Linked DNA regions of Rattus norvegicus. The protein of the gene in region 3 interacts with the protein of the main gene of each other region in a pairwise test. Links are inferred from orthologs where the notes say so. Each region holds a gene or a part of one and is shown on either strand. Other genes may lie near its edges.

Region 1 (4,271 bases), on a different chromosome or scaffold from region 3:
TCTTCCCACCCGAACGAAGCCACATGCTGAGAGCAATAATTTTAACTGGACATTTGGGTTTGTCTCATTTAATTCACAAATATTGACAAGAAAACTGGCATAACATCTTCCCAACAAATGGTAATTTCCCAATCAGGCATGCATAGTTTTCATCCCATTGCTATTAAATCTAATCCCTATTCTCTGCTATCTTGTACAGCCCCTCAGACTTCTCAAGTTATCTGAAATACAATCCTCATTCTAAATCAGCACTGTCATTAGTTATTCAAACTATACACATAATCTTGTCAATTCTATTCAAAAATTTTCTGAGCAATCAATCTCCAATAGATGAAATGGTTAGTGGACTGAAGCAACCTTAATATAGCTATTATGCTGCCTGTGGTACACACTGAATAAATAAGAATTCAATGCAAATCTTAATACATTAAATGAACAACACTACAAATATACAGATATTTGCACTGCTCTTATAAAACGGAGTTTCCTATTTTTATGCCTGATTAAACCATATAAATTAAATAATAAACGTTCTTTATCACAATACTGATTTTTCTTTAAAAGAATTCAAGGAGGGGGGGAGGGGAGAAAAAATTGAAAAAAAGAAAAGAATTCAAGGAAAGCTGAAATATTTACAGAAAAGAAGTCCTATCATTTTTAGAAAGAAAATAAATGAGTGATTAAAATAGAAAACAAAAAAACTTCCAATAAAACAAAACAGTGATATTAAATAAATTATTTACATAATTACATTTCAACAGTAGGCATGGTGTTATTAAAACAAAGAATAATCAAACATGTAAGCAGTAATCAAAGTGTCAAATATCCTAGGAAACTATCTTGTGTTAAATGCTCCAAATTTGTTATGATAATACCAGAAAATTTAAAAAATAAAAGCATGAAAGTATAACAAGTCACCAAACATAAACTAATGAATCAATAACGTTCAAATTACTTATGAAAGTACCCAAAACATAGCTCAATTTAAAATATTTTTCAAAGTTCTAAATTAGTCAAAATTGTTAGAAAGTGTTTAAAAGAGAACCCAAGGGCACAATAAAAAACCTCAATGTATCACTTAAAGTGATACATTAGTTACTTCTAGGGTTGGAATAGAATACGATCTGTAAGTTATGTCATCTATAATATATCATAAATATACAAAATTATTTACTACAAAGCATTTCTTCTACTTCCGCTTCTCTGGATAGGATTCAATCTATCTTTAAATCTTCACAAAATACATACTACCAAAGAGCTGTCTCCCTATTTACCGTTAATGATGTTTGCTTTTCTTTCTTTTTTTTTTTTTTTTTTTTTCTTTTTGGTACTCGCACAGCAGCAACTTCCTGTACATCCAGCTACTTGGAAGGCTGATGCAGGTGATCATTTGTTTTTGTTAGACTAGGGTTTTAAGGGAAAATGTATTTTTAAAAAAAATCATTTTTTTTCACTGCAATTATGGTTTGTATATATTTGTAACTAAAATAAACTTACCTGGGCTAAAATCAGTACACAAATTCGCGTTCTTAAACTTGGAGCAAATATTTAAATAATCCTTTCTTAAACTATTTCTTTTCCTGGTTGTTATTAAAATAGTCCCAGGAACCGTTATTTTTTATCAAAAAATGAAGCATTAGTCTCATGTATAGTAACAAAGTTGCAATAAACACCAGGTAGATTTTCTTGTTTCAACCATAATTCCCTTTCATTAGTTTTGCTTAGTTTTCATATCTTTGCTTCTGAACAAATATACTCATTAACTTTGGGAAGCATAAATTAAAACATTGTTCCTTAATGAATATTTTGTGGTTCTTGCTTTTATTTCATCTGGATTAACACAAAATTAAAAGAAAAATGTTACTGGTGAAACATTTTCTAACCAAAGAAGACTGTCACAGCCCTTCATAAGCCTAATACTAGGTAAACTGAGGCTGGATTGTGGACAGCCTTGGCTATATATGAGTTTCCTACCCAGCCAGAGCCATACAGTGTTTCAACTGTTTCTTCGTAGAGACAACCAAGGAGAAGCACTCCCTTTAGACACATTTCAAATGGGCTACCTAGAAAAACTGACTTCACATTTCAAGTTTTTACTTTTCTCTGCCTTATTTGAAAATTTCAAATACTAAAGTCCCTTGTTCTAGAACACATTTTCCAAGTACATTAAAATGCGACTATTTTCAGGTGAAGGGCCAGCGCCCCGGGACTGCACCTGCATTACAATCCACCATAGGTTTTATGGGCGTGTTTGAGATCTTGGAGCATCGCCATGTTGGTTTTTTCCGTGGGTGTCTACTTGGTCCACCTATGAAATTCGAGCGGAAGGCGTCGGGCACGCCTGAATCCAGAAGAAGCGAACTGCGTCGTAACCGAGGATTGTTTTACATTTGGGGAGGGCAGAGAGCCAGGGGCTTTGGAGCGCGCGGGGTTGGGTGGGATTTGTGCTGTGAGGCTGCTGAGATCCGACGGCCCGGCCGCAAGGTCCTGCTGCGCGGCTGGACAACAGCTGACTCGGCCTTGACAACCTAAGTCACAGGGCGTGGGCGGGCGCGTGAAGGGCTGGGAACTGGTACTTACCAGTGCGAGCCTGACTTTTCTTCTGCGGTTTTCAGAAAGACGGTCTGGAGTCTATTAGACATTTTAGATGGGTGGGAGGGGACAGGGTAGTGAGTAGCGTGGGGACAGGGTCCCCAAGTAGGCGCGAATCAGAGCGCGAGTGTGGAGCCGCAGGCACTGACGGGAGCGAACACAAGTGTATGGCCGAAGATAGACAAGAGGGTGGCTCCCCCGGCTTCCGTGGGAAGTGGCTGTAGAAGCCGGAAGACGCAAGACCGCGACCATACCCTCCCACCTCAGGAAAGCTCACTGTTTTCCGGCCAAGTCTCTGGCTACGTGACCGATCACAGCCAGTCAGAGCGGACGTGGGGGCGTGGCATCGATGGACCCGCCCTGAACAGGGCCTGGTCAGAGACCGCGCCCACTAAAATGAGCCCCTAGAGCCAGCAAGCCTATGCACTTAGGTACTGCGTCACAAACCGGGACCGAGGCGAATGGATCGCTGTGGCCCCGCCCTTATGACGTAGTCCAATTGACAACGAAGGTTGATGTGTCTTCTTCCGGATCAAAGGAGGAATCAAAAGAGAAACTTCTTTCACTGCCTACACGAAATGAAATATTTCCGGTGTCAGGCTTTAATTGTCTGCACTTGTAGAAATGCTTTTGCAAGCCAATGTAATAATGTCTTCCTTAGCAGTTTGATTCAGTAGACATGGGCAGGCATTTAGTAGTTGCCATAAATTGTTGAGAACCTTTATATCCATTTCCTGGCTAGAACTCTTAGTCTTTTGCTTTTTAGTTCCTTTAGTTTTGCCTCTACCTTAACGATTAACCATTTTCTCCATTCCCACACTCATACCTCAGTTAAATTGTATCTTATTGTCATGTATTCAATTTCTTGAGTCTCTGAGCATTAAATCCCCTGTATAAACGTTTTGAAACTCTTTTTTAAATTTCCAGAGACCAGCTCTGAATTCTCTAGATTCCTGCAGTTATTCCAAAGTGACTATTTGAGAATTGGGATCATACTGTTTAATGGGTAGAAGGAATTGTAGTTTAATTAGGTGTGGAATATTATGAAATATTCTTGTATGCTCCACTGTTTAAATCCAGGCCACTGATAAGGTAGACAATTTGAAGGTTTACATGGTTATTTAAAAATGGAATTACTTACCAGTCTTAGTGACACACAAATGTAATCTTAGCACTTGGAAAATACAAGCAGGAGGATGGGAACTTTAAGGTCACCTTTGGTTACACAACAAGTAGTACTACATGAAACTTGTCTCACAATAAAGGAATTAGAAAAGGTTTCCTCATTCCCCTAACTGCTGAACAGAAAAGATTTTTTAAGAACTTCGGGTCTTGATATGTTAAGAGAAAGTGACATGTTCCTATTTCTGAATTTATTTTTCAATAAAGTACCCTTTCACCCCGACCCTCCCATACTAAAGGCATCAGGGAAGATAGGCAGACCTTAATGCTTTCAAGCTTCCTGGCATCTTTTGTCTATGAAACCAAAGTTACTAGGAAAAAAAAAAACTAAACAAAACTAAACTAGAGAAAAACAAATGCCTTTTGCCACATGTTGTGATGGGTGCCTTTTATTTCAGAACTCAGGAAGAGATAGGTGGGTCTCTGAATAAGAGGCCAGCCTAGTCTCCATAGTGAGTTCTAGGTTAGCCAGGGTTATACAATGAGACCCTGTTTAA
Region 2 (2,900 bases), about 40 Mb from region 3:
TCTGAGGCCAGGGAAGACCCCCTGGCCAGAAGGCACTGGGAAGTGAGGGTTCTTATTCTCTTGATCAGTGTGGTTGGATATAAACACTCCCCTCAAAGGCTTAGGTCCCCAGCTAGTGGCGATATCGAGTGATCGTAAGGGCCTAGATGGGGGAGATGGACCGAATGTTTGCAAGGGGTATCCTGTTCTGACCTTATTCTTGGTATATTGTGCTCTCTCACTCTGTCTGTCTCTCTCTCTCTGCTTCTGCTCCCAGGTGAGCAGTTCTGCCCCAGCCCACTTTTCCCCTACCATGTCGCTCTCCCTCACCAGAGGGTCCCCAGTGACAGGGCCATGTGGCAGCCATGGACTGAAACCTCTGAACTGAAAGTAAATCTTACCTCTTCTAAGTTGATTTTCTCGTGTACTTTTGTCATGATAAAAAGCAACGAACACGAACCCCTCCTACTCCACTCCACCCCTGCCTTTCCCTATAGACACACAGGCTGGCCACACCCAAGAACAGAAAAGGTTTATTGAAAACTATATACAGTTTGTCCAGGTCCTACAGGTTGCAATCTGGACCCACCCCGCTCACACCTCGGGCAGTTTCTTGGCCCCTGATGGAGGAGGCCAGGACTGAGACCAGGGTACCCAATGTGGATCTTTGTCTGTGAACTATAAACACCCTGGAGGTGGTGGGCAAGGGACAGGGAACGGATCCCTAACCTGATCTAGTCACAGTCAAGAAGGGAACACTACTCTGAAACTCAGGCCCAGTGGACCTAGTGAGGCATCCGGAAGTCCTCCTCTTGCAGGAGGCCTTCCTGAACATGGGGACAGTCTCCCGAGCTGTCCCTCCCACAAGCTTCAGAGGCTTGCCTAGGGATGCTGGGGAACCTTCCTCTCAAGACTGACTCAGGGTCCAGAGCCACTGGAACCATCCCCAAATAGAGACAGTGTTGGAGAGGTCACAGCACAGGGTCCAGGCCAGAGCCTCAGGGGCAGTGTTGGAGGTCAGGGGGTCCCGCTGTAGGAATAGTCTGCCTTGTTGTGCATCACCAGCCGATCATCCACGAAGTAGAAGCTGTCAGACTGTGTCTCATACGGATGACGAATCATCTCACTGACTGCAAGAGAGGTCCACCCAGGGCAAAGGTCAGGACCCTGAGCCAGACCCTTTGGGACTTTAGAACTGGGAGAGAGGGAGGCAGGGACAGATGAACCACTTCAGAGAGTTCCTCAGCCTCTTTGAGCCTGTTTCCCTCCTGGTGACACAGGAGTGGCGCCAGGTAAGAAAGTGATGCAGGGTAGGTGCACGGGGACCAGATGCACAGGTACCACCCCCCACCTCCCGACACTGAGCCTGGGTTCTCCACATCTCCACTCACTTAGCTCCTCGGAGAGAGGCGGGAAGTCATAGATGTGCTCACAGGTGTTCTTGCTGCTGGGAATGCAGAAGCCAAAGTGGAAGTCGAAGCTTTTGAGGAGCTGGTTTCGAAAGTAGTGCCTCTCAATCATGCGGAAGTTGTTGACCGGCTTGTCTCCCACTGTGAACTCCACCCTGAGTTAAGAGAAGCGGGCAAAGCTGAGTAGCTTCCACACCAACCATCCAGCCAGCCAGCCAAGGGACTCCAGGCTCCAAGGCTCCAGGCAGACTGCCACCGAGAGGCTCTGGAAGGGGGCTGTTCCCACCCTCACACTCGCCCCCCAGCCCTCACCCCAGCCCAGTGACTCACGTGGCTCCCACCTGCCTTAGGCGGAGGAAGGCAGGTGTGAACTGGTATCGAACAAAGCGCCCTGCATTGGGGTCCAGGTCCCGCCGGTTGATGGGCAACCGTTCTGTAATGTACCCCAGCTGGGCTCAGTGGGCTTCAGGCTGGGGCCTTTGCCTACTCCACCCTCCCCCAAGGACCTCTGTTCAAACGTTTCTAAACTCTTCAGGAGATTCTGGTACACTTTTGTTGAAGAGTGGTACCTACAGGGTTCTAGATCAACAAGTCACCAGTGTTCAGGGGTTCCCAGAGCCATAGGGTGTGCATAGGATTATGGGAGGACTTAGGGGCTGCAGTTCCTAGGGAGGCCAGCAGAGGACAGGCTGACCAGTACTTAAACAGGGCAATGCTCCCAATATGTCCACCCTGAGAAACAGTGGCAGAAAAAAGAAGAGGCCTGTCTGCCCACAGACACCTGAGTGTGCTGAAGTTCAAGTCTGGACTGTGCTCTGTGGCTCAAAGAACCTAGACAGCCCGCTCCACTGTGCTTGCCCACCTTTTCCTCTCAATGGTGCTCCAATCCCACTCACCGGAAACAGGGGGCTTCTTGATTTCAAAAAGAACAGTCCCTGAGTCCATGTCCCGGATCTTGAACCTGACGAAGTCAATCTTGTAGATATTTTCCTCAGGGGAGCACAGGTAGTCTATGGGAGACAGGCAGCTGAGCAAACAGGGACCCCAAAACACCCACTGTGGATTCAGTTTTGGTGGGCCCCTGTCTTGGAGAAGCCCCCACAGTGCAGGGGACAGAATTTTGTTATAGTCAAGGATGAACAGGGACGATCCTAGTGGCCTCAGAGGCAAGGCAAGTCACCTCCACCATACCGACCCTCCCACCCTCTTGGCAATCCTTATTTCAACCTCGGCTTTGCAAGGTTGGCATGCATCCTTCGGACAACTGGACCTCCTGCCTAGTGGAAGCTTCCAGCATGAGGGGGACTTCACTCCAAAGGGAGCATGCAGCTCTCGGGGGAGGAGAGTTACAGTTCTTCCTGGGCGTGCGCCCCACCCTCACCACACACAACCCTGGGGCGTGACATCTAGGTGTCAGGCAAGGCTGATTTGAGGGGAACTTTCCCTTGCATGGGCTGTATCGGGGCAGGCTGGTACCCTTCCCTGCTGCCCCGCCCCGCCCCTCCCCCACTG
Region 3 (3,500 bases):
AAGAGAGAAGCGTTGGGTTGGGGGCTCACAACCATTATAAGAAGGGAACTAAGAAAGGTTTCAACAAGCAGATAAGCCAAGGTGCAATGTCCAGTAGGAATGGCAGGCCCCGCCCCTTTCCCTGCTCTCTGGGAGTCCAACCTGGGGAAGGAGCTGGCAGGCCCCGGGTCCCCTCAGTTGGCAGAGTTACACTGTAGGATTTGCTGAGGGGCAAAGAGCTTCCTGACAGCCGGGATCTCTATAGGCTGCCCCAGCACTGAGTAGTTCTCTTTGTTGTCTGCAGTCTGGGCTGAAGACTTCTTAAAGTAGCACAGGCGGCAAACAGAGTGGTACTTGTCCGCTCCGCCAATCACCTCCACCTGGTAGGAGAGGCGTATGAGGGAGGACTCAGAAGCCTAAGCCCACCCCACTCCGTGGGCAGAAGCACAAGGAGATACCTCTTTCTCCAGGCCCAGCCTCTTGGTGTAGGAAGCTTCTCGAAAGCACTCCATGCACACAGCGGTGAGCTTCACCACACTCTCGGCCAAGGGCACCAGGTTCAAGATGCTGCCGAAAGCCTACACAGGACAGCAAAAGTGTTAGCCAGGCACTTCCCTCCCTGCCTGTGTTCACGTGTATGCGTGTGGAGGGAGTTCTGCGGAACTGACGCAAGCCTGTGTGCAAGGCAAGTGTGTTACAGCCTGGGCTGCCCCCAGCCCAACGCTTCTCTTTTAAACCCCATGATTCAGCAACATCATACTTTACTGGTCCTGCTTCACTAGAGAGCTGCATGGGGAGACCTTGCATGCTGTCTCCCCTCTCAAGACCGCTGCCATGGGTCAGACATCTTTACCTTCCTCTGGAAGGTTCCGTCCAGCGCCGCCACAATCACTGTCTTGCCTGTATTGGCCATCGTTTCACAGAAATCCACAATGTCAGGGAACTAGGAAAGTTCAGAGAGGATGAAGTGAGCCGTCCTGAGCAAGGGCCTCATGAAGACGGTGAGGGATCCGAGCACACAGGTAAGCCCAGAGCCGGAGATCAGACCGCACTGCCACTCCTGTGAAACATCCCACCTGCATGCCCACTGCTACCCAGGGCTGGCCCACAGAGGCCTCTACATACCAGAGAGGCTGGAACAGCAGTTCTCAACTAGTGGGTCGAGACCCCCCTGGGGTTGAACAGCTTAAACAGTGTGCATGAAGCCCTTGGCTCCACCCCCATCCCCTACCCCCACATCAAATGAGCCAGACAAGGTGTCCAACACAATACCACTACTTTAAAGGTAGAAGGATTAGGAAGTTAAAATAAACCAGGGCTGGAGAGATGGTTCAGGGGTTACAAGCATGGCTTGTTCTTATAGATAACTAGAATTCAATTCCCAGCACCCACAACAGATAGCTTACAAACCATCTGTAACTCCAGATGCAAGGACAGCTAATGTCCTCTTTTGGCATCTGCAGGCACCCACCCTCACATGCACACATGCACTTTTAGCCCCCATGGACAGCTGGAGGGAGGAAGGGAGGGAAGGAGGAGGGGGACTCTTGGTAATGAGATGTACAAGGCGTACGTAAGTAGGTTGGCAGGGATAGCTGCCCTCCGCCTTCCACTGTCTCTCAGGCCAGCCTCCCCCTTCACAGCACGGGTGTAGACCAGGTTAGCCTTGAACTCAGGAGATCTACTTGCCTCTGCCCCTGAAGTTCTAAGATTAAAGGCCTATGCTATGAGCCTGGCGCTTCCATTTCGTTTGAGCTGGGTCTCTTCCTGAATCTGGAGCACAGCTACTGGGCTGGGCTGCCTAGTCAGGGAGCTCCAGGGGCCTGCCTGTCTCTGCCTTCCTCACACTGGGATTATGGACATGTGGCTATACCCAGTGTTGTACACGGGTGCTAGGGACCCAAACTCAGGCACTCATGCCTGCAGAGCCAGGGCCTCCCTCACTGACAGAACTGTCTCCCCATCCCTTCTGTCTCTCACTTTTGATTGGTTACTGCTGTGCAACCCAGGCTGGCCTGGGTTGCAAAGCAATCTCCTGCCTGCCTGGTTCTTGGACCTTTTCTTGAACATATCTCTGCCCTACACCTTAACGTTCTAACCTTTCTCTTCTTCCACGGTCCCTCCCAGTTTTAGTCTTTCAACGGAGGTGAGGTGGAAGCTCCAGATTTATCTCCAGACCTAGAATGCCGCAGCCAAAGGGCAGAAACTTGGAATGGATGCGATTGGTCCCTGGACTCAGCCATTCCCACAATAGTCACAGCATGTGACATGGCTTGCTCTATAAAAACACACGTGTATAATTAGAAGCGTCCAGGCTGGACTGGCATTCATCAGAGTCCTGGCACTGGCTGAACATAATCTCTTGGGTCAACACCAGGCAAGGCAGGCACCCTGGCCGCATGAATAAAGACCCTTCCTCAGTCTCACGTGACCACTGACAAAGCAGGTGCAGTCTATGCCAGAAGCAATCAAACAAGCACCACCCTTCCGCCAAAAGGAGCTCGGTCCCCTCCCGGAGGGCCACTGTTCCACGACTAGTGTTTGCCCCGTGGCAGGCTTTAGAACCCACAATATTGGCTCGCAGGGCATTCCTGGTAGTTTCTGGTTCAAAGACACTTAAGTGGCAAGCCTCCTTTGTCTGGTGTGCTCCTGCTGTGCCCTACATTGAGCCTGTCATTACTGCGTCAAAAAGAAGGGAAACAAAGTTCTTAACGATGCAAGCTTCTAATCTTGCCCAGAAGCTGTGGGCCCTGCTTCTGGTGAATGAACACACGGGAAGCTCTATGTCCTCAGCTCTGGCTCCAGGGACCCTACAGGACCCTCTACCCACTGTCTGAGGACACAGGAAGGAAGGGCAATCTCCTTGTGTTACCACGAGGAGATCCTGAACTTAGTAAGGAACAGGGTCTAGAGTCTGGGGCGGAAGCACACAAGAATTGTGTTGTTTATACAGTGCACACTGAATACTCACTGTAGCCTGTGCGAGGGCCCATGACTACACAATACCAGCACTCAGGGGCCCGAGTTCTAATCTAGCCTGGACCACAAAGCAAGACCCCACCCCAAAACTCCAAGTAGCCACTAAATGAACTCGTTTTCCTTAATCATAAGGTGGGGTGGGGGTGGGGCGCATAGAAATAAATCTCTCCTATAGGTTAGGATGGGGAAGAGGGTTGGGGCGACTGGTAGGCTGGTGCCAGACCTGGGTATGAGTCTATCAAGCAGGAAGAGCTAAGAAAAGAAGGTAGTGGGCTGGAGAGATGGCTCAGCGGCTAAAAGCACTGACTGCCCTTCCAGAGGTCCTGAGTTCAATTCCCAGCAACCACGTGGTGGCTTACAACCATCTGTAACGGGATCTGATGCCCTCTTCTGGTGTGCATGAAGACAGCTATAGTGAATAAATAAACAAATCTTTAAAAAAAAAAAAAGAAAGAAAGAAAGAAAGAAAGAAAAGAAAAGAAGGTAGTGCCTAGGGAGTGCGGCTGGGCCTCTGGGAATACCAGGAGAGCACAGAGTAAGCA
Region 4 (4,237 bases), on a different chromosome or scaffold from region 3:
CACTCTAAAGTCAGATGCTTTATTAAATCCAATTAAAGAAACACCCAAGTACCCTTCACTTTCCACATTTTATAAGCAAACATGAAAATATGAACTGTTCTAAACTCCAGTGACCACAATATATCCGAGACCTTTAAAGGAGGAATCCATCCATGTGGAAAAGCAAACTGAGCTCAGTTCCTGTCTACCCATAAGCATTTCCAAAGCATCTCACCTAGCTTGTCTTGTAACTGTGAAGAAACAATCCTTACTGCAGAGTGCTAACCACCAACTCACAGGGGGCAGACAAACAGCCCACAAACACCCACCCCTTAACATGTGGTTACCGAGGACAAAGCCGGTACAGTGAAAGCCTACAAACTGATTTCGAAGCTTAAGATTTAGCTATAGCTTACCTGTTTATGCATTTCAATGTTTAATCCATATGACATTTCATAATACTGTAAAGAGAAGAACCAGGCATGCCGTTAACTCACGGTTGTGGGAAGGACACACACCATTACAGAAAGAGAAAAGGTCCTCCTCGCTTTGATACCTACCATCACGTAGTGTCTCTGCATTTCTGTCTTTTCACTTGCCAATTTCTCACACTCCAATTTAAGACTATGAAAACAAAACAGGCAGCTTAAGGTAAACATTATGTCACTTGTTTTAACATCTGCCTCCCATATTTGCACTTCAAGCAAAAACAATTTAGAAAAGTTGTAAGCTGGGCATACTTCCTAAAAGCTGTCTTTGTATTCCATGCTGGAAAAGGTGAACAACGGGGAATATCCACCAACTACTGTCCTTTTTTGTTCGTGGGGCACACGTCCCGTAGAGAGGCCAAGAACGGAAACACAGATCTCTCAGCTGTCCTCCCCTCTCTTGACCGCACCAAAGTCTGTCCTTTGCACAACCCCCATTCTCCAGCAAAGACAGTCTTCAGGTCTGAAAACTTTACTGGTAAGTAAAGTTACTCCTCTCAGTGACTAGTGCCTTTCAAAACCTTTTGAATCCCTGCCAAGACATGACAAGCAGCTACAGCAAACGAAGTGGGTTGAAGTTCTTCTGTCCCTGTTCAGTAAACAGTGTGTGCAAGTATGCCTCAAGTTCTGGAGATACGGTATAAAAGTAGATAAAAGGTCAAAAATCAGAGTCCCTGACTAACTTTAGAAAATTCACACCCAAGCCACCAAGCTTCTCCTTGGTCCTTTTTCTCAAGCATGATAAAAGTAAAAATCTTCGAAGAAACTGCTTTGCGCCAATTAGTCAAAACCTCATAGTAGAAAAATAAGTAGCTTTTCTGGACTATTCACTACAGATGGGGCTTTTAGCTATAATTTCCACTAACCAATCCAAAGAAGAAGGTATGATTACATAAAGAACCCAGAACAGAGGTGAATGTGATTCTAGTTCCCTAGTCTATCCAAACACCCCAGAGTGTGGGCCACGCATAACTACATCTTACCACCTAATCACCCTTGATGGGCACAGCTAAACCCATCTAGCCTTCCCTAATGGACTTTGTCTCAGGCAACCCAATTTTCTAGTATGGCAAACAGCGATTGCAACACGGCTTTGCTTTCCTGAACGCACATTCTAGGACTGAGCCATTGATTGAACCCATGTTTCAGTTCAGCCTGTTGCAAAACAAATAAACGAAGCGCAAATATTGACGGTTCTCATGCAACTCCAAAATACACGAAAAGGGACTCCCTGGAACTGCCACAAATGCGCAAAGGGGAAACAATGGGAGGAGGAGGAGACAACAGAAGGGACGGCCCAGGAAGAGCGACGAAAGGGGGGTAATGTGAATGACAGGACTTAACTGTGACTCCACACGCCACCGCCTGGACACAAGCCCTAAGTACAACAGCCCTAGCAGCCTGGCCTGTGTGAGAAGAGACCCCCCAAGTGACCACCACCCGAGCAGGTCGACACGCACCTGTGATACTGCGCCTGCAGGAACTGGAATTCCTCTTTAATCCGGTCCAGGGACTCCGGGATAGTGAACTTAAAGGGCTGGCCTGCAGCCTGGTGCGGCGTCTGCAGGTGACCAGCAAGGGTAACCAAGGGAGGAGATATGAGGATGAGGGCATAAAGCAGAAAAGTCAGAAGAGGGAGAAGCAGATGGGACATAAACAAAAAATAAATAAATAAATAAATAAATAAATAAATAAATAAATAAAGTTAGAGGTGGTGGAAAACGGAGGCCCAAACTCGAGCCCTCGGTTCACTTTAGTGAGGGAGAAAGCAGATCTTCCTGGGACCCTGATTTCTCAGGAGGTTCAGAAATAAGTCTGCCTCCAGTGTGGACAGTGTGTGCCCAGTGCTCTGGGGTCACCCGGCCCGGAGGAGGCTGAGAAGGACCAAGTCAGAGCTCCACTGTCCCGGCTGCCCCTCCCCAACCGGTGCGAGAAAGACCCAGGATCTGGAGATGAAATGCCAACTCCCTCTCGGCCCCTAGTCCCGGAGTGACCGGGCCGCACTGACTACAAGTAAACAGGCAAGACGAGGGCAAAGCAGGGATCACTCCTGCCTCGGGATAAGCGGGCAGTGACTACGCGACGCCCGTCCGCCCGTCTGCCCGTCTAGACATCCAGTAGGAGGGGGGGCGGGCAAGGGAAAATGGGGCTTCCTGGGCTCCCGCGCGGGGCAAGGTCCCACCCGCGCCGACGACTCACTGGGTGCCGGCTCTGAGGGAACATCGCTCTGGCAGCAGCCGCGGCTCTGTTCCGGGATAGCTCTATCCTCCGCGCCACTTCCAACTTGAATTCCACCGAGGAACGCGAAGCAGCGCAGCAGGCCGGCGCACGGGGCGCTCGGGATGCAAGGCCAGGGCGCGACGGGTGCGGCCCCCGCCCTCAGGGCCACATTGCGGGCGGCTCGGCCCCGCGCCTGGGAGTCTGAGCAGCGGGGGCGCCCGGACCTACCGCGGCCCTCCACCCGGTGCCCGGGGTGCGCTCCCTTCGGTGGCTCACGGATGCAGGGGGGCTGTGTGTCTCCTCCCTGCGTCGGCGGCTGTGCAGGTGGCGCCTTGGCTAAAACCCACGTAGACAGCCAGAGGCGAGCGCCGCTTCTCGGGTCGGGAGGTCACCCGCTCCCACGACGGTGTGCTCCGGGTTACCCCCGGCTCGTCGACCGGCGTTGCAGAGTCTCCGGCGCGGCTTGAAGCTGCGGAGCCCAAGCAGGGTCCAGGCAGGGTCACGCCAGTATGCGCTCTTCCTCCAGTCCACGGCTACTGCTCGCGGTGCAGCTCTTTGGCCGCCCGCCGCGCCCCTGCCCCGGGCATCAGGCCGCCGGGCGCTTTACCCGGCTCTAACACTCCTAGAGCCTGCCTTCCCCTCCTCGGCTCTAAGCAAAGGGCTGACCAGCTCCAGCCGGCGCAAAGTTCTCTCACGACCCGGAGGCAAACGTCCGCGCGACGGAGAGCACGCTGCCGCTCTGCCTCCCTCCACAGAGGGCCACGTCGAAGGCGAGTCCCGGCTCCTGCCCCGGGACGCGGGGTCCCCGCCGCTGCTCCTGCCGCCGCCCGCGCCTCTTGCGCCGCTTACATTAACACGCGGTTTCACACTCGCTAGCAAACCAGCACCCCGCCCGAGCAGTGTGGCGGGGGCTGCAAGCACCCAGGCGGCCACGGACGTGGGCGGAGCCGCAGCCGCTCGGCCAACCACGTGCGCCGCTCCAACGTGGGTTACTGACGCATGCCGGCCACAGCCTGTGTTGGCCTTCGCTCCGCCCACCTCGCGCGGCCTCTGTGCCTTGTTTCCCCGCCCACCCGCCGGTGCCCCTCCTCCGCCAGCGCGTCCTGTGCGCTCTGAGTGCCGCGGCGCCCGAGGAGCTGCGGGGCACCCACGCCAGCCAATGGGGAGCGGCTAGACGCCGAGATTGGCAAGCCGCTTCCGAAGGTCGGTGGGAAGGAGAGCGGCGGGCCGGGCTGTCAATCAAAGTAACGTGGGGCGAGTTAGGGAGCGCGCCAGTGCGCGCGAGCCGAGCGACCTGCGCGCGGCAGGCAAGAAAAAGCAGGGGGCTGAAGTTTGCAGAAGCCTGCGGCTCGCTCTGCTTTTCCTTGAAGAAAATCTCAGTGAAAGTACCAGAGACTAACTGCGGGGTTTCTTGTTGGGGGAGGGATGCGTCTTGCTAACAAGAACAGAATGCGGTTTTCCGGTATTGGTTCCTTTTGTGCTACTCCGAAGGTGAGATTCCATTCACAACTTTATCGGAGGCTTATTTTTCCGCGAGCTGCTGTTCCACG
Region 5 (4,262 bases), on a different chromosome or scaffold from region 3:
ACTGTCTGGGGTTCTCCAAGGTTGGCTGCAGAGCTCTCTGACCCTTTGGTGGAGGTGCTGAAAGGACAGCTCCTAGCCCGGGGAAGCCAACTGAAGGACAGATGCTGGATCAGGCTTCCTACTGTTCCCCAGCAATCCTGATTGCCAGTTTGGACTTGTCTGCCTAGGGGGCTGGCAGCTTGTGAGCCTCCCATCCAGAAAGCACAGCTGAGATTCCTGGGTCCCCAGGGAATCTCATGACCCTCTGCTAGAAAGTCATAAATAAGTGAAGGGGCTGGGACTGACCCCAAGTCTCCATCCTTCTTCCTGGTTAAAGGAGCCCCCCCCCCCGAATCTCCAGATGTTAAGCTCCAGCACAGTTAGAGTTGACTGTATTCAGGATGTGGGAATTGCCCATAGCTGCCTTTGTCTGGGTGCTGCCTGCTGCATGTGTCCATTCCTGAATATCTGTCTCCAAAGGGTTTCTGTTTAAGGGTTCTTCCTACTTCCCTTTTATTTGGTGGGATGTGCAGGGGTTGCCAATCAGCAATTTACAGGCCTGTGTGTGGAGGAGCCTTGTGAAGTTCCTTTTGGTAGCAGTGTGGGAATTCTTCACCCTGAGATGTTGTTGGGACGGGTGTGTGGGTCATCGGTTCAGTTACAAGCATCTGGGAGTGTAATGCTAACATGGCCTCCTTGCTATGGGATAGGGACCTCTGCTCCTGAGTTCTGCAGGCTTCATTCTTGTATCATATCACTTAGAAAGTTAGCGTTTAAAAAAAACCAAACAAACAGGGATTTTATTCTACTCTTAGTCCAGTCCCCAGCACTATCCTAGTGCCAGATCCTATTAGGCAATCAGTGTAGTAGCATCAAGTGAGCCAATGGGGAGTTGGATGTGTCTGTCTCTGACTGTGCATCTAAGTTCATTTAATTTTTGTACGACTTTGATGATGCGTGGGGTTGCCTGACAGAATCTCTGGTGTACGCGGGCTCGTGTGTGAGCGTGAGCTTGTGTGTGTGTGTGTGTGTGTGTGTGTGTGTGTGTGTGATCTATGGAGTGCCTGCTGTCTGGAGGGAGCGCGGAGGTACCTGATTTGGAGATGTACCATGTACAGACAGGCTGATGTCTGTGCAACTATCCCTTGCGAGGTGAAGCTTCACCGTGTGTACACGCGTGCGTGCATATGTGTGTATGTGTGGTGTGCACTGGCGCACGGCCCCCACCCCGTCTCTGCCCGCGCCCTGCGCTCCTTCTGGAGGCGGAGAGCCGGGTGCGTGGAGGGCACTGCGGCTCGGCTGCCCGCCCTCCGCGCTGCGGCTACCGCACGTCACCATTCTCCCCGCCCCGGCCGCCGTCCCCGCCTCCGTGGTCCTTTGTAGCTGGCAGTGGCGCTGGCCTTGGTCACCGTAGGCTCCGCCCCGCCCCGCCCCGGCCCCGCCCCTTGCGGGCCACGCCCCGGCCCTTCCTCCCTCCCTCTTTGCCCGACCGCAGTCGCGCTTGGGCCGCCGCGGGCCCGCACCGAGGCGCTCAGCGCGGAGCCAGCGGTAGCGAGAGCTGACCGCCGGAGACGGGGATGGCGGAGCGGCGGCGAGCATGGAACACGGAGGACGACCTGCCGGTGTACCTGGCGCGGCCAGGCAGCGCGGCGCAGACCCCGCGCCAGAAGTACGGCGGCATGTTCGCCGCCGTGGAGGGAGCCTACGAGAACAAGACCATCGACTTCGACGCCTACAGCGTGGGCCGCCGCGGCTCCGCGCGCACACCACGCAGCGCTGGCCGGCCCGACGCCGTGGGCCTGCCGTGCCCTGGCGGCAGTGAGGACACGGCCAGCGATGTGAGCGAGCCCTCGGGCTCTGCTGTCAGCTCGCCAGGCGATCGCGATGACAGACCGCCGGCGTTGCGCATCCGATGTCCTGCGCCCCGCGACCTACCACTCGGCCGGGACAATGGCCAGGTACCCTAGGGGCACGTGGGCCAGACGTGGGGGGGCGGGGCCCTTGGAGACCCAGTGCTTGGGTGGCGCGAGGGCGCGTGTGGGGACCCGCTGCCACCAGGTTCTGGGGGACTGCAACGGCCCCTCCCCCACTTCATCCTGCAAGAGGTTCAGAGAGGTTTAGGATAGGCCAGGGTTGGCCAGCAGAGCCTCAGAAGGCCAAAGCCAGGTTCTGAGAAGGGAAGTAAGTTGCGGCAGCTGCCGCTGCCGCTAAGGGACCTGTAAAATGAATTTAAGCCTCGTTCTCTTTCCGGGGTTCTGTGAATAGGGGGGGCATTCTCTGTCTTCCTCCATCTATCTATTCGCTCACTCACTGATTGTGGAACGCTTAGGCTGTAACCCGCTCAGAGAGAGGTTCACGGAATGACTCTGTTCATATAGATGCTCCCGCCCCTCCCTGCGGGACGATGTGGTTAAGGATTTAGAAGGTGGGCAGTAAGAAATCGCTCAGGACACTCCTCTCCTGGATGTATACGCTGGAGGCGAATCTGGGATTTGAACCCAGGCATATGGACTCCCTGACTTCTGAAAGTGAAGAGGGACATCAGGGAAAGACATGGCCAGGGTTTGGGCCTTATAGGTTATCGTCCCTAAGTTGGAATTTACCAGGGAACACGGGTGGTCAGACAGAAGAGTCCTGAACAGGGTGGGTAAGGTCAGAGCCACGTGTCTGGGAAACAGAAGTTGGAACAGCTCTGGGAGCTGTCCCTTGAGTTCTGGACTGGGCTGGCTAGGCAGCCTAACCCCACCCTCCAGAAGTTCCCTGGCTGGGGAGAGCTGTGGACTCATTTCAAGAATTAAGTTCAATCAGGTAGAGAGTGATCAATAAATGCTTGCTATGGAGTTTTATCATCATTCTCGGTTTAATTAATTAATTAATTCGTCCTTTCCATTAACACCATGAGAGGCACAAAGTGAACTCAGAGGGAGGAAGAGTTTGAACAGGACTGTAATCTGGACAGGCGTTTTGGAGGAGAAGAAAATGGGCGGTGTTCTCCAGCTCTGTCCTCCGCTCTGGAACTCTCCGTGGTCCTGAATCTGCCGCCTGGGCGCTGGAGGCGGGGGCGAGGAGCAGGGAACTAGCCAGAGTCCAGTTCCCTATCCCTTTATCTCCTCCTTGGTAGTACGACCTCGCGTGGGAAACAGGCTCTCTAGCTCCACCAAAGGCTTCAGGGCCCAGAAACCCAGCCACTACCTGGAACCTGTCGAGATGTTTCACCTTCTTTAAGCTGTCTTCATCTGTGACCCGGGAGTGGCAGTCTGCTCTCGGCTTCCCTCAAAGGGAATACCACGGAGGCGATTGCTCTTTGTGACTGGCCTGGAGCTGTCCTTCTGGCTTCGCGGCACTGGTCAGGGTCATTCACACAAGCTTTGTCCCCAGCTCTGCTATGGCTGGCCCGGTAGCTGTGCCTTAGTGTTTCTGGACCCTAGTTGCTTCAGCTGCTCCTGTGTTCTTACCACCCGGTTCCCCTCTGTCCTTTCTCCCCGACTTCTTAGGGACCTGACAAAAGGCTGCGTTCGAGGCCTCCCAAAGCACTCTCTGGTGGGGACTTAGAGTAGAAGAGATCACGGCCCCGCTGGATGGAGTAATTTACTTTCTGAAGACCACAGGGCATGGGTTGCAGAGGGCTAGGGATCTAGGACCAGCCTTAACCACTCCTGCAAAGGGTGCCCGGGCCCCTCCCCCGCCCATAAGGCTTTTTCCTGGGAGGGGGGTGGGGTTTCAACAGCGCAGGCGCAACATTTGCGGTTGCCAGAGGCTGGTGGCTGTAAAGCTTTGTACCGGAGAAGTCTGCTTGGGAGCAGCAATCTGTTTGGCCAGTAGCGAGCAGGACTCTTCCTTCTGACTTGCACGTGGCTCAGCCCCTCTCTCTAGCTTGCCTGCCCAGAACCCCCCGACTGACCCCAGGGAATGCCGGGGTACTGGAACCTTTGACTTATTGCCGAGGAAGGGAATCCGGAGACAGAAGTGTGCTGCTATCATCCGCAGCTTCCGGTCATTAATGAGAATTTAGGGGCCAGAGCACAGGCGGGACTTAATGAGTAGAGAACCCGCTTCCTGACGCTGCCCCGCGGCAGTTAATTTACGCTATTTTATCTCTGCAAATGCGCGGTACTTTATCTCTACAAGCTTCAGTGTCCTGTCTGTAAAAGGGGAAAGTCACAGACTAGTGTTTCTGAATATAAACTATTCTCTCGGAGCTTATAATCCCTCTTGGTCTCCTGCGGTGGACTAGGAACTGGCTTTCTCCATGTGGTGGAAGACGAAAGGCCCCAGCGGGGTCC
Region 6 (4,152 bases), on a different chromosome or scaffold from region 3:
GACAGCATACATACTCCACACCTCGGAACCGATCAGAGCCACAGGGCAAAAGCATACCAGAACCGTGCAGGATGAGGCCCTGGGAGCTGCAGGCCTGCAGGAAGAGGAGGCCCGGGGGACCAGAATGACATGGTTGGAAGGTATGGACAGAAAGCCTGGAAGCTGGGTTCTTAAGTGGCTGAGGCATGGAATCCCTACATCCCGGTTTGAATGCTTGGGTTCTGGAAGGAAGGTCCTAGGGCTAGGAAACAGGTGGGACAAAGTCCTAACCTCTTGAGCCTCCTGGTGCCTCCTGGTTGAACTCTCACATTGGTCCATTCGCTCCTGGTGCAAGAACCTACAGCCTTCGGGCACCAGCAGGGCTTCACTCACGAATTCGCCAGCTGGGGAATGGGAGACACCAGAATCCTAGTAGCCCAGCCCTGCCCTCCTCAGAGTCCAGGCATTTCATAGCTTTCTCAACCCATCGCCCAGACTTCTAATGTAGACCGGAGTCATCTCTAGGAGACTCCCACTTCACCTCAGTTCCCACCCCACTCCCCCAACGGGTGACTCACGCAGGCAATGGAAGGGCACAACCTCATGGTGGGGGTGGGCACATCTGCCACTTCGGGTACCCCCACACCAGCGCTCCATCGGGATGGCCTGTGCAGCCTGCTCCACACGAGCTATGTGCAGCTCTGGGTACATCTGTAGGACACAGTGTGGGGGCGGGGGGCGAGGGGCGCGGTCAACCTACTGGCTAACCTCCGCCTTCTCCATCTCTTCTTTTGCAGTACTGGAGATTGAACCCAGGGGCTTGTACACGCCAAAGCAAGTGCTCTACCACCAAACTATATGCCCAGCCCTCTTTTTACTTTTTATTATGAGACTCCTTTATTATGAGTCTCCTTAATGTTTCCTAAACTGGTCTTGAACTCGTTCTGTGGCTTATATGGGTCTTTAATTTGTGATCCTTCTAAAGGTCCCCCCCGGCCCCTCCCCCCGCACGCCTGTTCATGCCAAGCTCAACTTCTCTGAGCTCACGTTTCAGGGCGACCTTGCTCTGCAATCAGGTTTCTTTCTCAATGTATCTCGGTCTCTTTCCTACCCTGCCTTTCTCTGACTAGCTTCTAAGTAACTGTTCTCTTTGTATTAGCCCCGCCTTTTCATTTCACCTCTCTTAGGCAGGCAGCCACTCTCACCCGGCTCCAAAACCTACTGAATCTTGTTGGTTTAAAGATCTTTTGATCTAAGCCCTGCCTCTCTTTCGGCCACGCCCACTTACACTCCCACTTTTTCTAAATGGCTCCACAGATTCCTAAACCCTGCCACTCTTCAGGCAAATCTTGATTAGTCGACGGTTTTTTTGCAGTCTCCTCCCCCCCACCCCCGGCGCCCCTAATTTCTCAAAATAGGTTCTGCGCTAGCCCCTCCTAGCCTCTTCGCTGGCCACAGACCCCAAGCTTTCCCTGGCTTTCCAGATCCTCTCATCTCCCTAGGCTCTGTCTTTCGCCAAATCCAGCTTCCTGAAGGGCGACCCCGCCCCAGCTTGAACCCACTTTCCCACTGACCACGCCTCTCCCCACGGGGTCCCGCCCACCTGTCTGCAGTACTCCAGCACGCGCTGCGGGTCCAGAAGACAGCGTCGTGATCGCTGTGGGTCTGGTTCCCAGCGGCCGGTGCGCAGGTCTCGGTGAAGGGTGAGACGCCCACATAGTCCAGCCACTTGAGCCGACCCCGGAGCCTGGGAATGGAGGCAGATGGGGCAGTGAGGGGCCAGGGAACGTTGTCATCTGGGTTGTCTGGTCCTTTGCTCCCTAAAATCCAGTTAGGACTCGTGCCCCTATCGTCTCTAGAACCAGATCCTTCTAAGCACCTCCTGGGTAAAGAGATTGTTCCCCGGGAAACAGATCCCATGGGGCTGAAGCGCCCCAGCTCTCCCGTTGCTATGGTGACCAGGATTTCCCCCCCCCGCCCCCGTTTCTCGCGGCCTTGTGGCTGAGAAGACAGGCTCCGCCCCCGCCCCAGCGGCTTGGGTCTGGAGCCTGAAGGGGTTAAACTTGAATCGTGTTGGGGGCGGAGGGCGAACCCAGGCGTTCTGGCCCCTCCTCCCTCCATCCCCAGTTCAGGTTCCCACTGAGGGGGTGTAAAGATGACAGGGCCCAGCTTCCTAGCAGGCCTGCACATCAGACCTTTAGGACTAGGGGAGCTATATCCGGATTGAGTAGTGGGTGGAGACCTGGAGTCCTGGATGTTTGAGGGCAGGGGGTTCATGTGGATACAGAGGATACAAGGGATCTGGGTTTTTAGATCCAAGTGCCTGCTGCCTGGTGGGTCCTACGCTTAGGTGGGCAGGGCTTGGGGCTTTGTCGTCTAGGGGTGCTCTGGATTTCTATGACCCGGGGCTCTTGGAAAGAGCCAGGTCCGACGATGCGGGTGGGAGGGGGCAGGGACGTCAGACGATGGAGGAACCTAGGAATATCTACAGTTCGGATCGCGTGGGGCAGGCCACCTGGCCAAAAGGACTGCGGTGGCCGTCCCGCGTCCAGGTCCAGAGGCCCGGTCCCGCCCCTTCCCCATCCCCAGGACCCGGCCGGGCCTCACCTCGGCCGCGCTGGGGCTCCCACCAGCCAGGTTCCCGACGGCGAGCTGCGCGCGCAGAAGCAGCAGCGACAGTGGTAGCAACAGCGGCAGCGGCGGCGGGCCCCGGCGGCGACCCTGACCGCGAGTGGTGGGGCTGGAGGGCCCCATGTCCGGGCCTCGGGCCCTCAGGTCCCCTGCGCTCCCGCCCGGCCCTGCCCGGCCCCAGCGGTGACAGGAGCTCCCAGCGCCACCGCCGCCGCCGCCTCCTCCTCCTCCCGCCGCCCCCGGGCTGCGCCGGCGCCGCCAGCCCCGCCCCGCGCCGGCCCCGCCTTCCCAGCCAGGACAATAGCGTGGCGGCTCTGCGCACTGAGAAGCTCGGGAACCCCGGGAGGGAGCCTGCGCCAAGTCCCAGCCCCTCCAGATTCCAGGTGTCACTGTCCTCGTGAAGGCCGAGTCACTAGGCTCAGTCCTGGGCGTAGCCGTTTTTTGGACTTTCACCCTTAGCCTTCTCTTCTGGCAAACTCAGACACCATCATCAGCTTTGTCCTTCAAGGACGCCAGAACCCATGGGGGCAGAGGTCCTCCATAAATTCCTCTCTTGAGGCCCCAGGAATACAGGCCTCCATAATTTCCCCAGTCAAGAACATAGGGAGTGTGACAGGAATACCTGTAATCCGGGCATTTGAGAGGAGAGGACCTGAGGATAGGAGTTTGAGGCTAGCCTGCCTACAGGCAACCAGGTCTCAAAAGAAGAAACATTGTAGTTAAGTAAGGCCGACTCCCTTCCAGGCCTCTTCAGTCTCAGCACCAGAGGCTGTCTCCCACCCTTGCTTCCTCAGACCTAGGAATTCAGCCTTCCTGTCCTGTTTGCTAGGTGTCTGGACCTTTAAATACTCCCTCCAAAAATCCATGACCAAAGCCCTAGAACCCTTTCTTTAAAGATGACTCAGGCCAGGGGCTGGATAGTATAACCTTCGAAAACCCAGCACCTAAGGACCACTGTGTGGAGTCCCCGTTCTCGCCCACTCTGAGGACCACCTTAAGTCTTCTGCCTAAAGGGGGTCACTGTTTTGTCTTTTTTTTTTTTTTTTTTGGAGCTGGGGACCGAACCCAGGGCCTTACGCTTCCTAGGTAAGCGCTCTACCACTGAGCTAAATCCCCAGCCCCCACTGTTTTGTCTTAAGTGTGTGTAAAATATTCTATTTTCCGGGCCAACTGAGGCAGCCTAGCTGCGTGCGCGCGCGCGCGCGCCCGTGTGTGTGTGTGTGTGTGTGTGTGTGTGTGTGTGTGTGTGTGTGCATCTATATGGCCTTCGAGCTGACGGTCTTGTGGGAACCTGCCCGCATTTGCCGTCTTTCTGTTTGCGTGTGTGCATCTCTGTGGGTGTGATTGGGGTGAGATGGAGACATGTTATTAAAAGAGCCTAAAGTGGAATGCTGATGTGCACCTGTAATCCCAGAGGACCTGAGGCAGCGAGACCAAGAGTTCCCGGCTAACCACTAGGAGAAAGCTCCGTGGGTAAAAGCACTGGCTGCTCTCTCAGCAGACTCAGGTTCAATACCCACACTGACAATAACTCCAGTTTCA
Region 7 (3,500 bases), about 65 Mb from region 3:
CCGAGGAGATCTTTCTACCTCAGTAGCCTCCTCTTCCACAGGACGGGTAGTCACACTGCCCTGGCCGGGATGCTGTGAATGCCTCTGGGTGGACTGAAGGGACTGCCAGGAATGGTAGGCCTGGGTACTCGTGTCATTGAGATACAAGATGAGCGAGGGCGGCACTGAGAGAGGCATATTAAACGTTCCATTCTCTGGGGCCTGGTCTCTTGTGCATGTAAAATTGACAGATAGGTGAATGCTCCTCTCGCTTGAGGCCACCAGGGGCTGAAGGAGGGAGGTCACATCCATCTCAATCCACCTGTGTTTCCTCAGGGTAAATGAGTATGGCGCTCTTGGGGTAGCCTTGCTGGAAGACATGGGCTCCTTTACCACAAGGTCACACACACAGGTCACAGTGGAGGAGGAAGCAGCGGAGTTGTTCAGAGTGTATAGCAAGACCGATTTGAGTAAGTGTTCCATGGCAGTCACCCGGTCCAGGTTAAATAGCAGGTCCACCATTGGCAGGGGTCCTGAGAAGAGAAGCCACCAGTAAGTAATGTTTGCAAACGAACTGGAGAAAGCAGGAAGTGAGACTGAGGAATTAGTACTTGACCATAGGCAGTTTCCCTTCCCTTCCCTCCCCTAAGCCTCAGAAACAAAGGGAAGAAGGGAGCTGATAGGGAAACTGTGGAGGGTCTGGGGTATAAGTCAGTGGCAGAGCATTTGCCTGGTAGGCACAAGGGCCTGGAGCCATGCTTTCGGGTGGACAGAGGTCTGTTTTTGTAACACTGTCACTTTGGAGGCTGACAGAAGGATTGCCACCAGCCTCGGCTACATAATGAGAGTCCTTCATCACACTCACGCACACACACACCTGGGTCTGGTAACCCACACCCACAAAGCCAGTACTTGGGAGGTAAATGCCATCTTTGGCTATACAGTGAGTTTGAGGGCAGTCTGAGTTGGTTACATGAGACATATCCCCCATCCCCATACACACACCTTTCAAAAATCTCCTCCCAAATCCACACAGGGTGAGTCAGGTCTTGGAAAATAGAGGCAAGAAGACCAGAAGGTCAATGGCCCCTTTGGCTATGGACTGAGTTCAAGACCAGCCAGGCTATTCGAGAATGTGGGCTGGTGGGTGGAGCTCAGTGGGGAAGGACAATTGCCACTAAGCTTGAGGACTTGAGTTTGGACCTACATGGTAAAAGAAGAGAACCAACTTCTGAAAACTTTTCTCAGGGGTTGGGGATTTAGCTCAGTGGTAGTGCACTTGCCTAGGAAGCGCAAGGCCCTGGGTTCGGTCCCCAGCTCCGAAAAAAAGAACCAAAAAAAAAAAAACAAAAAAACAAAAAAAACTTTTCTCTGGCCTTTCTACTCATGATCCTCATCCCTAACTCACACATGCAAACAATTTTCATCTCAGAAAAAGGTGAGAACAGGTTTGTGAAACCAAAGACAATCATTACACCCTCCGGTTTCAGACCCAAACACAGACAGTGGAGCAGAGTATCTCCCTGTGGAGTCATTCCTACACACACAGGCAGGAGACCAGGAAAGCAACACTATCGAGGCAGTCTAGACCCGAATGAAACAAGTCACTTGGAAACATTTGACTGTCGAGGTTGGAAACATTTGACTGTCGAGATTGGAAACAAATGGAGGGTATGAGGCTGCTACAGTGAAACGGGCAAGGGTGGGGAGGGCAGCTTTCAACAGCCACAACTGCCCTGGACAGTTATGGTTTTCATGAACTGGTGGCCAGTGTGTGTGTGTGTCTGTATTGGGGCATGGGGAGTGTGGAGCACATATGGAGGTTGAAAGACAGCTTGTAGGAGCTGGTTCTTGTCAGGCTTGCTGAAGAAGCCTTCATCCACTGAGTTACCTCCAAAGCCCCGGGTGTTTGCTGGTTTTGGTTTTTAAAAGCACAACTCTTCTTCTTACTAAACAGGTCCCCCGTTGCTGACTAATGCTTGGAGGTTTGGGATTTTGCTTGCTTGCTTATTGAGAGAGGTCTGTGTAGCCCTAGCTATCCTGGAACTCACTCTGTAGACCCAGCTGGCCCTGAACTCAAAGAGATTAGCCTGTTCCTGTCTCCTGAGGGCTAGAATTAAAGTCATGAGTCACCGCACCCCAGGTGAGTTTTGTCTTGTTGGTTCTGGAGGTCAAACTCTAGGCACCTAGTATCTAGGACATAAATGGTACCACATCTCAGCCAGCCGATGTTTTTTTTTTTTAAAGAAGATGCACTGTGCAGAGGAGACTGAAACTTTCCTCTTCCAGGGAAACAAGGGGAAATGTCCCATATCACCCACCACAAAGGCAAGTTTTAGGGCACCATCAGCCAACAGCTTGGTAGAATGAAAGATACTAGCTACCTCCAGAACTTTCTTTGGCCTTTCAAGACATTAGTCTCTCTTTTTTTTTTTTTTTTCCCCGGAGCTGGGGATCGAACCCAGGACCTTGCGCTTCCTAGGCAAGCGCTCTACCACTGAGCTAAATCCCCAGCCCCGCATTAGTCTCTTTTAACCTTCACACACTGAGCTGCTGTGCTGCCGTGTGCCTGTAATCCCACAGCACTAGAGTGGCTGAAGCAGGAGAGTCACTGCAAGTTTGAGACTGTCTAAGACAATAAAACTTTAAAGGAAACTCGAACAAGACAGATCTACCATATTAGTTTCTTAACTAAAGATGGTTTAGGAAACAAACAGTGTAACCAATGCTATTGGCCAGGGATGTCGTAGCAGAAGGTTTAGCTAACATATGTGAGCCCCATTACCACCACCAATTTAATCCTTAGTACAACCACACCAAAAAAAAATTTTTTAAAGCTTTTTAAAAAGTGCTAACTTAAAAGGTTTGTTTCAGTCGGATACTGAGAATCATGTAAAATAAAATTCAAGCAACAGTGAAAACCTGTGCGATTCCAGTATTCAGGGAGCTGAGGCAGGAGGAGCTGGGTAACAGGGGAAGATCTTGCCTCAAAACAAACCACCAAACCCAAATCAAGGTGTGGCTCCTTATAGTTATAGCAGCAGTAAAGCCCGTCTTGTCCCCCAGCCCAGTTGAACAATCTCCTCCGACCCACCTGTCATCTGGTTGCTGGGAGCCTGCTCCTGCTGGGCACAGGGGCTGAAGAGCCGGACGGTATTGTAGAGGTGACTTCTGCTGGGTTTAGGAACCCCCTCTTTGGTAGCATACGTCTTATAGAGCTTTTTCATGTAGTAGAGAGCTCTGGAGTCAGGCTGCAGCTTAGGGGTCTCACCTCGCCTATCAGAGAGAACCTTGAAGAGGGGGGGCAAGAGGCCAGACCTGTCAGTCCCATCTACAGGCAACAGCAAGGACCAGGGGTCTGCCTCAGACTCCAAATTTTCACTGGCTCCAGCCTGGGATTCTCCCGTGGAAGCCTGAGAGCTAAGGCTAATAAGAAGACACAGCCAGGCAAAGCAGCAAACCCCCAACAGGAATCTGCTGGGAAATGCCATGGCTTGGGAGAACTAAGAAGGAACGCATCT

What was found.
Region 1: the proteins of Tk1 (region 3) and Lrif1 interact in a two-hybrid assay, tested with the Homo sapiens proteins (2 studies listed by BioGRID and IntAct). The link is inferred for Rattus norvegicus from reciprocal best matches to the Homo sapiens genes TK1 and LRIF1.
Region 2: the proteins of Tk1 (region 3) and Unc119 interact in a two-hybrid assay, tested with the Homo sapiens proteins (2 studies listed by BioGRID and IntAct). The link is inferred for Rattus norvegicus from reciprocal best matches to the Homo sapiens genes TK1 and UNC119.
Region 4: the proteins of Tk1 (region 3) and Tle1 interact in a two-hybrid assay, tested with the Homo sapiens proteins (2 studies listed by BioGRID and IntAct). The link is inferred for Rattus norvegicus from reciprocal best matches to the Homo sapiens genes TK1 and TLE1.
Region 5: the proteins of Tk1 (region 3) and Crmp1 interact in a two-hybrid assay, tested with the Homo sapiens proteins (2 studies listed by BioGRID and IntAct). The link is inferred for Rattus norvegicus from reciprocal best matches to the Homo sapiens genes TK1 and CRMP1.
Region 6: the proteins of Tk1 (region 3) and Aplp1 interact in a two-hybrid assay, tested with the Homo sapiens proteins (2 studies listed by BioGRID and IntAct). The link is inferred for Rattus norvegicus from reciprocal best matches to the Homo sapiens genes TK1 and APLP1.
Region 7: the proteins of Tk1 (region 3) and Gdf9 interact in a two-hybrid assay, tested with the Homo sapiens proteins (2 studies listed by BioGRID and IntAct). The link is inferred for Rattus norvegicus from reciprocal best matches to the Homo sapiens genes TK1 and GDF9.

Annotation. Positions count from the first base shown.
Region 1 is NC_086020.1:196,994,222-196,998,492, reverse strand, and holds the start of Lrif1 (ligand-dependent nuclear receptor-interacting factor 1), read right to left. Parts: upstream 2,801-4,271; 5' UTR 2,643-2,800; coding exon 2,581-2,642; intron 1-2,580. UniProt on the Homo sapiens protein: Together with SMCHD1, involved in chromosome X inactivation in females by promoting the compaction of heterochromatin.
Region 2 is NC_086028.1:63,738,999-63,741,898, reverse strand, and holds the end of Unc119 (protein unc-119 homolog A), read right to left. Parts: intron 2,399-2,900; coding exon 2,285-2,398; intron 1,822-2,284; coding exon 1,719-1,821; intron 1,544-1,718; coding exon 1,371-1,543; intron 1,110-1,370; coding exon 997-1,109; 3' UTR 501-996; downstream 1-500. UniProt on the Homo sapiens protein: Involved in synaptic functions in photoreceptor cells, the signal transduction in immune cells as a Src family kinase activator, endosome recycling, the uptake of bacteria and endocytosis, protein trafficking in sensory neurons and as lipid-binding chaperone with specificity for a diverse subset of myristoylated proteins.
Region 3 is NC_086028.1:103,534,778-103,538,277, forward strand, and holds part of Tk1 (thymidine kinase, cytosolic), read right to left. Parts: intron 923-3,500; coding exon 833-922; intron 558-832; coding exon 438-557; intron 360-437; coding exon 174-359; 3' UTR 1-173. UniProt on the Homo sapiens protein: Cell-cycle-regulated enzyme of importance in nucleotide metabolism. Catalyzes the first enzymatic step in the salvage pathway converting thymidine into thymidine monophosphate.
Region 4 is NC_086023.1:90,978,129-90,982,365, forward strand, and holds the start of Tle1 (transducin-like enhancer protein 1), read right to left. Parts: upstream 2,801-4,237; 5' UTR 2,691-2,800; coding exon 2,667-2,690; intron 2,029-2,666; coding exon 1,928-2,028; intron 610-1,927; exon of another isoform or gene 604-609; coding exon 540-603; intron 441-539; coding exon 396-440; intron 1-395. UniProt on the Homo sapiens protein: Transcriptional corepressor that binds to a number of transcription factors. Inhibits NF-kappa-B-regulated gene expression. Inhibits the transcriptional activation mediated by FOXA2, and by CTNNB1 and TCF family members in Wnt signaling.
Region 5 is NC_086032.1:77,778,117-77,782,378, reverse strand, and holds the start of Crmp1 (dihydropyrimidinase-related protein 1), read left to right. Parts: upstream 1-1,462; 5' UTR 1,463-1,556; coding exon 1,557-1,937; intron 1,938-4,262.
Region 6 is NC_086019.1:94,831,811-94,835,962, forward strand, and holds the start of Aplp1 (amyloid beta precursor like protein 1 isoform 1 precursor), read right to left. Parts: upstream 2,801-4,152; 5' UTR 2,734-2,800; coding exon 2,587-2,733; intron 1,727-2,586; coding exon 1,583-1,726; intron 691-1,582; coding exon 558-690; intron 384-557; coding exon 271-383; intron 95-270; coding exon 1-94. UniProt on the Homo sapiens protein: May play a role in postsynaptic function. The C-terminal gamma-secretase processed fragment, ALID1, activates transcription activation through APBB1 (Fe65) binding. Couples to JIP signal transduction through C-terminal binding.
Region 7 is NC_086028.1:38,096,521-38,100,020, reverse strand, and holds part of Gdf9 (growth/differentiation factor 9), read right to left. Parts: intron 3,471-3,500; coding exon of another isoform or gene 3,207-3,470; coding exon 3,074-3,206; intron 513-3,073; coding exon 1-512. UniProt on the Homo sapiens protein: Required for ovarian folliculogenesis. Promotes primordial follicle development. Stimulates granulosa cell proliferation. Promotes cell transition from G0/G1 to S and G2/M phases, through an increase of CCND1 and CCNE1 expression, and RB1 phosphorylation.